2 linked regions of the Arabidopsis thaliana genome follow. The protein of the gene in region 1 interacts with the protein of each later gene in a pairwise test. Each region holds a gene or a part of one and is shown on either strand. Other genes may lie near its edges.

Region 1 (4,907 bases):
TTTTGGCAAGGTATAACTGTTATTTTTATATACTATAAGGTCTAAACACAGCTATTGCATGGGAACAATTATACTTTTTTATAAATCCGACAGTGGAAAATCATATACGCAAAATTAGTACTGAATATTCCATTGTAAAATTATAAACTAAACATAAAGTATGAATTGGTCTCATTCATGAATATACGTGTGAGAAAGAAAATGTTGCGGCCGAAGTTTTTAAGTGGTCATATTTGATATTTCATCCTTCACAAATGAGTGCATTGATTAATTGATGAGCATTTGTTTTTCGCATCACAACTAATTTTGTAAAATAGGGTTTTACTCCTAGTGAAAAAGGATTTTCTTTGGAATGAACTTACCATTTTAATTAAGCCTAAAAAAAATGAAAACAAATTCCGCCTAAATATTAAATATCACACACATTTCAACCAAAATGATGTACATTCACATTTCTTAAATAGAAGTTACTTTGTTAAGTTATTATTAGCACATTCACATTTTCAACTATTACCTCTTTTGTCAGACCTTTCTTCATTCGTTTGTCAGACCTCTTCATTTTTTATTTTTTATTTTAATATTATAATAATAACTCTCCATTCATTAGGTATTCTTCGAACGGTGATCAGATTAAAAATAATCATATATGTCCCTTGATCATTAAATAAAACGGTGATCAGATTGAGTGTAAACTGTTTAAGGTATAGATCTTATGATCCTGATAAGTATTAAAACTATCGATTGAACAGATGAAACATAAGAATTGAAATGTAAATATGTGATATAAAAGAAAATGAAAGTATAAAAAAAATCGAACGTGACTCTCCATTTCTCTCATATTTGAACATCGTACGAGAATTTATAATCGAACTCGTCCGAAGGCGGAGAATATTAAAAAAGAAAAAGAATATTACATTTTTGGTTATATATAAGAGAAAATATCCAACTAAAATCACAAGTTTTCTGCTTCATCTCGGTGAGCTGAGACCAATGTCCATCCCATTGAAAGCAATCGGCGCATACATCCATAGATCATCAGAGCTCAATAACTGCGTAATTATATTTTAAAATATTAGTTAGATCATATTCATATAACAATTGAACGTACAAAAAAAAAACGATTTGTATTTAAAACCCTTGCTTACCTTAATTTGGAGCTGCAAAAATTTGACGTAATGAACTGCTTCCTCAAGCATTGTACTAATATCGACCTGTTACGTATTTAAGCAATTGTAAATGTTTAGAATCTTTATTAACAATTTCTTGTATAATTAATGAATTTGCATGTAAAAGAGCCATATCTTCTGCATGTTTAAACGTTTGCATGAGTTTTTTTTTTTACCTTTGTTCCATTGGGGACGAGATTTTGTAAAATCCTTAGTCTCTCGTTAATCCTTTCTCTTCTTTTCTGCACGACAAAAAAATAATAAAAAACCAAATTAATTTTTTGAAACATAATCTTCCATAAAAATTTGATATTTTATCTTTTTTGTGGGAAACAAACAAAGCAATTTACCCTTGCATAGAGGCTTTGAGGATCGGTGGCTGCACCACGACTGGCTCTTGTTTTACCATTGAGGTTGAGGGCCTTTGAGGGATCATCTTCCTTAGAGGATGAGTCTTCTCCTCCACCGTCTTGATCAGCGCAGTTTGATTCTTCCTCCGTACAGAAAGTGGTGCTTGAGTTCTGTCTACTCATCATTGCCCCATTCTTTCTTTTCTTCAACTTCGTCTCTCCTTCTTCCTCTTCTCCTTCATTGTTATCCCCACTCATCTCTACGTTCTTCTGGGCCCTCTTATTCACTCTTGCTCTCTTGTTTTTCTGAGTCCATGGCAAACCGTTTCTATATTAGTCACTAAACCAAATGTGATCTCTCTAGCTAATTGCCAACCAGTTCGAAAATTAAAGACTTACATCAGTAGATGTGGCACGGGATCTCTTTTTGGAGCCGGTGAGAGATTTTGTAGTAGTCACAGAGATCTCAGATTGCAACAAGCTTTCCTCGTCATCGTGGTTCTCCACTACGGTTTCCAAAGGCATAAGAGTCTTTCCAGAAGAGTATTTCTCAACGTCACACTCACTTGTCTCCTCACCAACAAGGTATGAGTTTGTATTGATGGTCACATCTTCCATCCCAAAGTCCATTGTCTCATTTTGGTTCTCTTCAACCGTGGGTGGAACAACGGTGTAATATCCGCTGTTCCCAGCGCTGTAGCTGCTGCTCTCTTGAGAGAAACAGAAGCTACCGGCTTCAGACACGAGGCTAAGGTGGTTGTGATGAGAACCAAGGTTCCAATACAAGCCTTGGTGGTCACCACTGGCTGCTGCGCCGGAGGATGAGCCGGTGCCAGGATGATCATAAGAGGCGAGAAGCTGGTTCATGAAATCGGCTTCCTCGGTTGCATAAGTGTACATTCCTCCGAGGTTGTTGCTCCATTCTCCCATGGCTTCCATTTTTATATGTTTTGTTAACTAAGCGTCTTAATTAAGAGATTAATCTTAATTAAGAAGATTGTTAGTTGGAAGTCTTGTGAGAAGTGAGGGAATGAGGAAGAGGAGTTGGAATGTATATATAGAGAACATGAGAGATAGTGGATAAATAAATGTCAACACATAATGACACTAGTTAATCATCTTTCTAATTAATTTGTAAATAACCAAGTCTGGGATACCATTAGATATGGACAGCTAATTATGGTGGGCTCTCTGCAACTTGGTCATCGAACATTAAGTTTAATATATATTTGTCGTTTGTCGTTTATGATTCTGCATTTCTGCTTGTTAATGGCTTCACTTATATATGTTAAATACATCGTTTTAAGTTAAAAACAAGATTATAGTTGGTTGATATACTAGTTCATATGAGAAATGATTGTGGTGGCCGTATTCACTGCATATTTAGGATCAAAATTGGAAGAGCTCTTAGCTTAGCTCATTATAATTTTATCGACTTCCATGTTTCGTTAGCATCCGAGTAATAAGAGATAAACAGATTTCTTAGCAAAAGTGTTTTTTGCAAACTCACTCGATGAAATAGTAGATGTGTTAAAAACTCATGAACGTATAGTTTATATTAATGAGTTTTTTTGCACACAACTATGATTCAAATTCTTGGGAACACTGAACTTACGGTTAGACCCCATAAACTGCTTTCTAATTGCGCCAATCCGTTGAGATCGCGAGTTTTGATGTTGAGTATCGAGTAAATACAATTCACAAGTGTTGATCCACCTTAAAAAAAACTTCATATCATAACGTCATATGATACCTATGATATGAATGTTTTTCCCCTAATGACATGTAGTTAGGTCCCCATATAGTTCAACCTGCCATGATATAAGCAAGACTTATTTTTATTTTAATAGTAAAAAAAAAAATTCTCCAATATTCTACATATAGTAAGAATATTCCTATATATTGATTAGCTATAAGTGTATTATAATTTATAGCTTAAACTAAAATTCTGCATAATTATACAACGCATTAAAGTATTAAGCATTTTTTACTTTACAAAGTAACAAACAATCGAGAAACTATTGGGTCTGAGTAGAAAGAATGATATTTTCCCACTCACCCGCTGACTAGAAAAAAAAATCAAAACTTATCCAAAATCCTTACAAATTTCAAATATATTATATTTAGATAGAAGCATATCCATATGCTATACGACTTCTAAAGAGAAATTATCTAACTAGAATACTGAATACCTATACAACACAAACACAAAGATATAGATTTATGTACATTGTCTCTTTCTACTTTTACATTTTTTTTCAATTTCTATATTTGTTGTCAGCTGTGTTTTTTTTCGAATATGCACTGACTAGATTTATGTGCTAATGTGATTAAAATAGATTACAAAATGATGCATACTCTATGGACCTAGACGGCTAGACATATTTCTCGTCTATTCGATGATTAAATCATGTAAAAATCTAACCTTGAACCAATCAATAACGGATTAAAGAGGTACGACGACTTACGAGAGAAAATTATTGCGTTTGTCAGTTTGTGTATTATGACAATACTTGGATTATCCTAATTTTTAGTTGTAATTATTATATCAAAACCGAAATAAACTAAGGAATGGAATATTTCGACATTAAGCGTAATTCACTTTTAGGTCAAGTTGATGCGAAATTAGAAACAAATGACAAATCAAGCCTATACTTTGAAAAACGCCAACTTGTAGTGACCCAAAAACCGGCCGGTTTTTTCCCATCTATTTTGTGATTTGAAGTTTTAATCTACATATATTGTTTAAATTTATTATTATTTTCTTTTGATATTGTGTTTTTGATGAAACATTTAAAAATTAACCATCTAATTTACGAAACTAAGAACACAAAAGCTCTTCCTCTAACGCCCTTGACAACTTAGTAGTTATTTTATATTAAAATAAGAATCGCGAAGTCTTTGGTTGCTTAAGTTGTCAAGTTCCATGGATAAAATAACTGTGTAGCAGAAAATAAAGAGTTCATGAGAATGAAAGAGAGAGAGAAAGGGATGTGAAATGGGAGAATCAGAGACCTGGTTGTTGAACGTGACAGTTTCTGCATCATATTAATGTTTTTAAAATAAGGGAGAAAGAATGATACTGAGTTATTTGGATTAACTATATTAAGTAATAATTGGTTAGGTTGAGTCAACCACTGGACGGCAGATCGTGCGCGTGGAAAGTCCAAAAGCTCATAAGCCATTCTTGTTATTAAAAAAAAAAACACTATCTATCTCAGTTAAATGTGTATGACATTTACTTCTACCATGTCTATGAAATTTACTTTCTGATCATGTAATACTTACTATGATTTACGTCATGTGACGACGAGCATATACTTTCAAAAATCTACTTAATTTGATTACAATCTCTTTTCTAATTATGATCTTGTAGAGAATGACAACAATA
Region 2 (4,907 bases), on another chromosome or scaffold:
AACGTTAGTTGAGAATGACTAACAGCAACCTGAGTTTGTGCTTGAGAGCTGGGAATTCTAGATGCTAGAAGCTTTTGCCCGTCAGAAAATACAGTATTTGCGAAACTTTTTTCCCCTAGTCTTGATCTCTCAGTTTCTTTGGATGAGAAGTCCATTTCATCCAATCTTCCAGTGGGATTGTCTGTTCTTGACAACAGTGCAGAGACGTCAGGAATGCCACCCAGATCACTGGACGTATGTGTTCTCCCTTTCGGATCAAACAATTCTCCGCGGAAACCATCTGTAATGAAGACCAATTATGATCCAAGGGAAAGCATGTAAAAAGTGGATTCGAAAGTAACTTCAGTGAGCACCAACATTACCTTCTTCGCGGAAAGTATTTCGAAGGGCAATCTCTACGTGAAGTTTCTTCGGTACCAAACCATTTCTACGAGATGAAAATCAACCAGAAATTTTTAGAGTTACAATTGCCGCACCAAAAGGAGTATACAGAGGCTAGGAGACTGTAAGGTACCTAAGAGCTAGAAACACAAGGCACTGGGCTCTGAGCTGCTTCAGTTGTTGCTCTCTAAAAGGTGAACCTGAAGGCAGGAATCCCTCTCCTGCAACATTATTTCCAGGTTCTTTATGAATTGCAGGCCTGATTGCTGTGGCTTCACTGCTCTGCCAGCCACACTGCCATAGAAAATAAGATCCCACATATAGAGGGGATGAGTTCCAACGAGGTATCTTGGTATGAAATAAAAGAGGAAAGGACATTTTGCAGAGCCTAAGTCAGACTATATGCAAGTAAGATTCAATACATCATATAGAAGGCAAAGTTTTAATCAAATCACGTTTTTGAAAAAGTGAATTTAGTGGCATCTAAGTTTTTTAGGTTAAAAAACAAAGAAAATCACCACGGGAAATGCAAGCATTTTTTTCATATTTCCAATACAGAAAACGAAAATAGATAAGAAAATAATACTTCTAAGGAGAGACAAATGTTTCGGAGAATAAGCCACCATGTGCCAGCATATATCTCTTTATACATTCTTAAGAAGTTATTGTGCATCAGATACGTGTAGCACAAAGTCCCAAAATATTTGAAATTGGCAGAGTCAGGGAGGCTCAAAATGATTTCATAAACCTAATGTTATGTACACAATATGTATATAATCTGGATGGATTCGGGAAACTTAGTGTTATGTACCTGTGGAGTCGTGAATGCATCTGAGGACAACCCAACATGCAAATTCCTAATGTCACCTGAGGTTTAATGGCAACAATTGTAGGGTGCTTCTTATATTCTAGATTAAAAAGGATATGCTTTGTTCTGTAAGAAACAATGTTGAAGCAAATATCCCTACCTGAATTACCGGGCATTTCTATTTTGCTTACTTCTCCAGTTTGATCATCAATCTTGTGGCTATCAAATATTTGAGAGTTATCCATATTCTGGTCCCATGAAAGTGATGATTCACCTCTCTTTCTCTTTCCACTCGACTTGACATCTCTTTGATTCATTGTCTCACTACGATTGTGAGGTTGAGAAATTCCAGACGTAGAATCCAAGTTGGATGGACTCTCACGATCAAATGATCTGTTACTTTGAGTTCCAGACCCTTGGTAAAAGGTTTGTGACGCACTGTTTGATCCACCAAGCTGCCTACCAGAAGTGAATGCATCGTATTTTGTCATCTCATTTTCAACTAGAGTTGCTTTACCCTCATTGCTAACTCCAACCGCTTGGGAAGACCCTGTATTCCACATTGATGCAAGAAGCTTAAGATAATAAATAAATAAATAAAAAAAACAATTGAAACACTCAACTGAAACAAAGGAGAGAGGATATACCAGCCAAATGTGCAGACCCAGAATCTTCCGTTTGGGTACCACCAGGATGAGGAAGACACGAGGACTTCAAAGCTTCAATGTCAAGACCGTGTTGATTGACTACAGTGTCCATGGCCCTGGGAGTTTTAGAAAGACTTTATCAGTAAAACAAAAGTGATAAATCTTTGAAAGCATGAGAAACAGCTTGACGCTGAAAGACCCAGAATAACTAGATTCTAAAGTCTTGAGTTAGATAAAGGCTAAAGCAACTGATTCAGTAAGAAGCAGCCCCCACGTCCTCACAGCGTAAGAAGATTATATCATCTCAACCTAATCAGTAATTCATTAACAAATAACCAGCGACGATATATAAGGAAAACAATACCTAGATATGACTTGATAGGGCATTGTGTTTTCCTTTCCACTGGTTTTCATGTGCTGCAATATCTAGAGTAATCGAAAGAATAAACAAAGTTAAAGCACAGGAATAAAGCTCAAAATTACAAAATAAAACATACACTGAGTGGTGAAGCCACATTACCACATAAAGTTTAGTTGCTAGCTTTGCAGGTTCATCTTTAGAATCTTGAATAAGTTTATGCAGAAACTTAGCTGCTTCCAACTCAATATTATGCGAAGAAGACGTCATCTTAACTTAAATTACACCATCACATAAGAATTCCCTGCATCACCACAAGCATGCAGATATTGATTACACAATTCAGAATAAAACAAGACTAATTCCAACCAATGTGCCCAAAAAAAAAAACTAAACTAAACTCTAGAGTCCATACTCCATACCAAACAAATAAAAGAAAATAGCCCAAGAGCAAGTAAATCATAAAGGAGGAAAATTTATGTACCTAAAAGCAAAACTAAAGCGAGAAGAACCTAACAAAAAAAAAAAACTCAGAGGTCCACAATTCATGTGATAAATCCACGGATACATACAAAATTGTAAAATTGGCTGATGGAGCTAAAAAATTCCCCAAATCGCAAGGCAAAGGAGAAGAATTCGCGAGTTACTCTAGTTAATGCAACTCACAAAACCCTAAATAGCTAAATAACGATCCATCAGTGTAGAAGGAGACGAAGAAGAACAAGAAGAAAGAGAGAGGGAGCTTTACAAATTAGAGATCCGGCTCGAGAAGACGAAGCAGAAGTGAAATTTCAGGTGAGAAACGTTGAGAGCTGACAAGTGAAGAAGCTATGCGTCGTCTCTGCGAAATGACTCTCCAAATGAAGAAATGTATAAAACTTATTTCAGACATTAATCAAGAGTTCTAAACGAGACCCCTTAATGGGCCTTGACCCATTACCATAAAGCCCAAATTGAAAAAGATAAGTTATATCACTAAAAGAGGGCGTGAAGAGATGGATTGATAGACACGGAAAAGAGAGAGAGATTTTGGGAGATTCGATTCGAAGATGTTCGATCTTCCAATTGATATGGAGGAGGAGGTGCTCTCTAGGGTTCCGGTGAAATCTCTGGGGAAACTGCGATTGACCTGCAAAAAGTGGAACACTATAACGAAAAGTGAGAGCTTTTTAAAGAAGAAACAGAGGAATGGAATTGAGGTGGTGATGATGATGGACTATAGAGTTTCCTTGATGAGCGTAGATCTACTCTCTCCGTCTATAGATCCTATAGGTAATCTCAATGCAGATGGAATCAAAATATCTAAAATCTTTCACTGCCAAGGGTTTATTCTTATGCATCAACAAGGACAGAGACAAAGACTCTTCTAGGGTTGTTGTTTGGAACCCTTATTTGGGACAAACAAGGTATATCGAATTACCTAGAAATTCTATCTACCACAAGTGCGTGAAGTACGCTCTCGGATACGAGAAAAAGAATCACAAAATCTTGAGATTCGTGAATGAGTACTTGGAGACCAGTAGGGACCGAATTCGTGAGCTTCAGATTTACAGTTTATACTCCAATTCATGGGAGGTCATTGATGATTTCACTCCAGACTGGTATATTTTGTACAAACACAGTGGCGTGTCTCTAAAGGGAAACACTTACTGGTATGCCCTAGAAGAGATCCCATTTCATGGTCTACCATCACTAGATCACCCTGATTTTCTACTATCCTTTGATTTCAAGATTTGAACCGCGTCTGCCTCTGCCTTTCCGAGCCGTATTTGGAGATACTGTGACGCTTGCTAGTGTTAGAGAAGAGCAGCTTGCGGTGCTGTTTCACCGGGCATCCGTCGTCGAGATATGGATTACTAATAAGATTGAGCCTAATGCAGTGTCGTGGAGCAACTTGTTATTTGCTGTTGATATGAAACCAGTCGCTGGTTTTTGGTTTCCTAATGTCGGTAGGAGTTTCTTCGTTGACGAGGAGAAGAAGGTCGCGGTTGTTCTTGATAAAGAGATAATAGACAAATGTCACCTTCCCGCTCGCAATATTGCTTACATCATTGGAAATAATGGAATCTTGAGTAAAGTGGATCTTGGCGAATCTAGAGACAAGTTTTGTTACCCACTTGTGTGCTCTTATGTTCCAAGCTCAGTGCAAATCCCAAACACACCCTAATCTCTTAATTTTGTTTTGTGGTGTTTACTTATCTCAGTTTTAGAGTATCTCTTACTATATAAGAGGTTCCAATGTAATCTTTCCGGTCCCAATTAAGATGAATGAGAATGAATTTGTTTTCTTTTTCTCTCTTAACAACCTTTTCTTGATTCGTTATTCCTCTAATAGTAAGACTGGATTCGTGAAAAAAATGTCGTTGTTTGTTGTTTAAGCATGTGATCTCAATTGCTATGATCTTAGAATATTATCATTTGACATTTAGAAGCGATGGAAACAAAGTAATATATAAGCATCAATCAGAATCGGTGAATATAAATCAAACAGCAAAATATATAACTATTTTTATTTCATAACATTACAACAAGCCACATGAAAAATAATAATTTGCAAACCATACAAAGAAAGAACGATATCAGAATGAAAACAAAAGAATATAATTCAAACAAAGTTTGATGGTCCTCCCAAGATTCATCATTTACCAATAATCTTTTCTCCTTGGTTCCCATGAACCGACATAACTACCTGCTGCGTCAAGAGCATCTAACT

What was found. The genes of interacting proteins can lie anywhere in the genome.
Region 2: the proteins of RSL2 (region 1) and SYD interact in a two-hybrid assay, tested with the Arabidopsis thaliana proteins (one large-scale study listed by BioGRID).

The regions. Positions count from the first base shown.
Region 1 is NC_003075.7:16,238,598-16,243,504, forward strand, and holds RSL2 (ROOT HAIR DEFECTIVE 6-LIKE 2), read right to left. Parts: upstream 2,573-4,907; 5' UTR 2,456-2,572; coding exon 1,916-2,455; intron 1,823-1,915; coding exon 1,517-1,822; intron 1,409-1,516; coding exon 1,343-1,408; intron 1,212-1,342; coding exon 1,146-1,211; intron 1,050-1,145; coding exon 969-1,049; 3' UTR 766-968; downstream 1-765. UniProt on the Arabidopsis thaliana protein: Transcription factor involved in the regulation of root hair elongation. Does not seem to be a direct transcriptional target of RHD6 and RSL1. Involved in the regulation of root hair elongation in response to low phosphate.
Region 2 is NC_003071.7:12,054,328-12,059,234, reverse strand, and holds the start of SYD (P-loop containing nucleoside triphosphate hydrolases superfamily protein), read right to left. Parts: upstream 2,465-4,907; coding exon 2,357-2,464; intron 2,263-2,356; coding exon 2,201-2,262; intron 1,953-2,200; coding exon 1,837-1,952; intron 1,740-1,836; coding exon 1,350-1,739; intron 1,249-1,349; coding exon 1,193-1,248; intron 676-1,192; coding exon 515-675; intron 428-514; coding exon 363-427; intron 281-362; coding exon 1-280. Other genes in the region: AT2G28270 (Cysteine/Histidine-rich C1 domain family protein), read right to left, coding at 4,837-4,907. UniProt on the Arabidopsis thaliana protein: Catalytic component of the chromatin structure-remodeling complex (RSC), which is involved in transcription regulation and nucleosome positioning.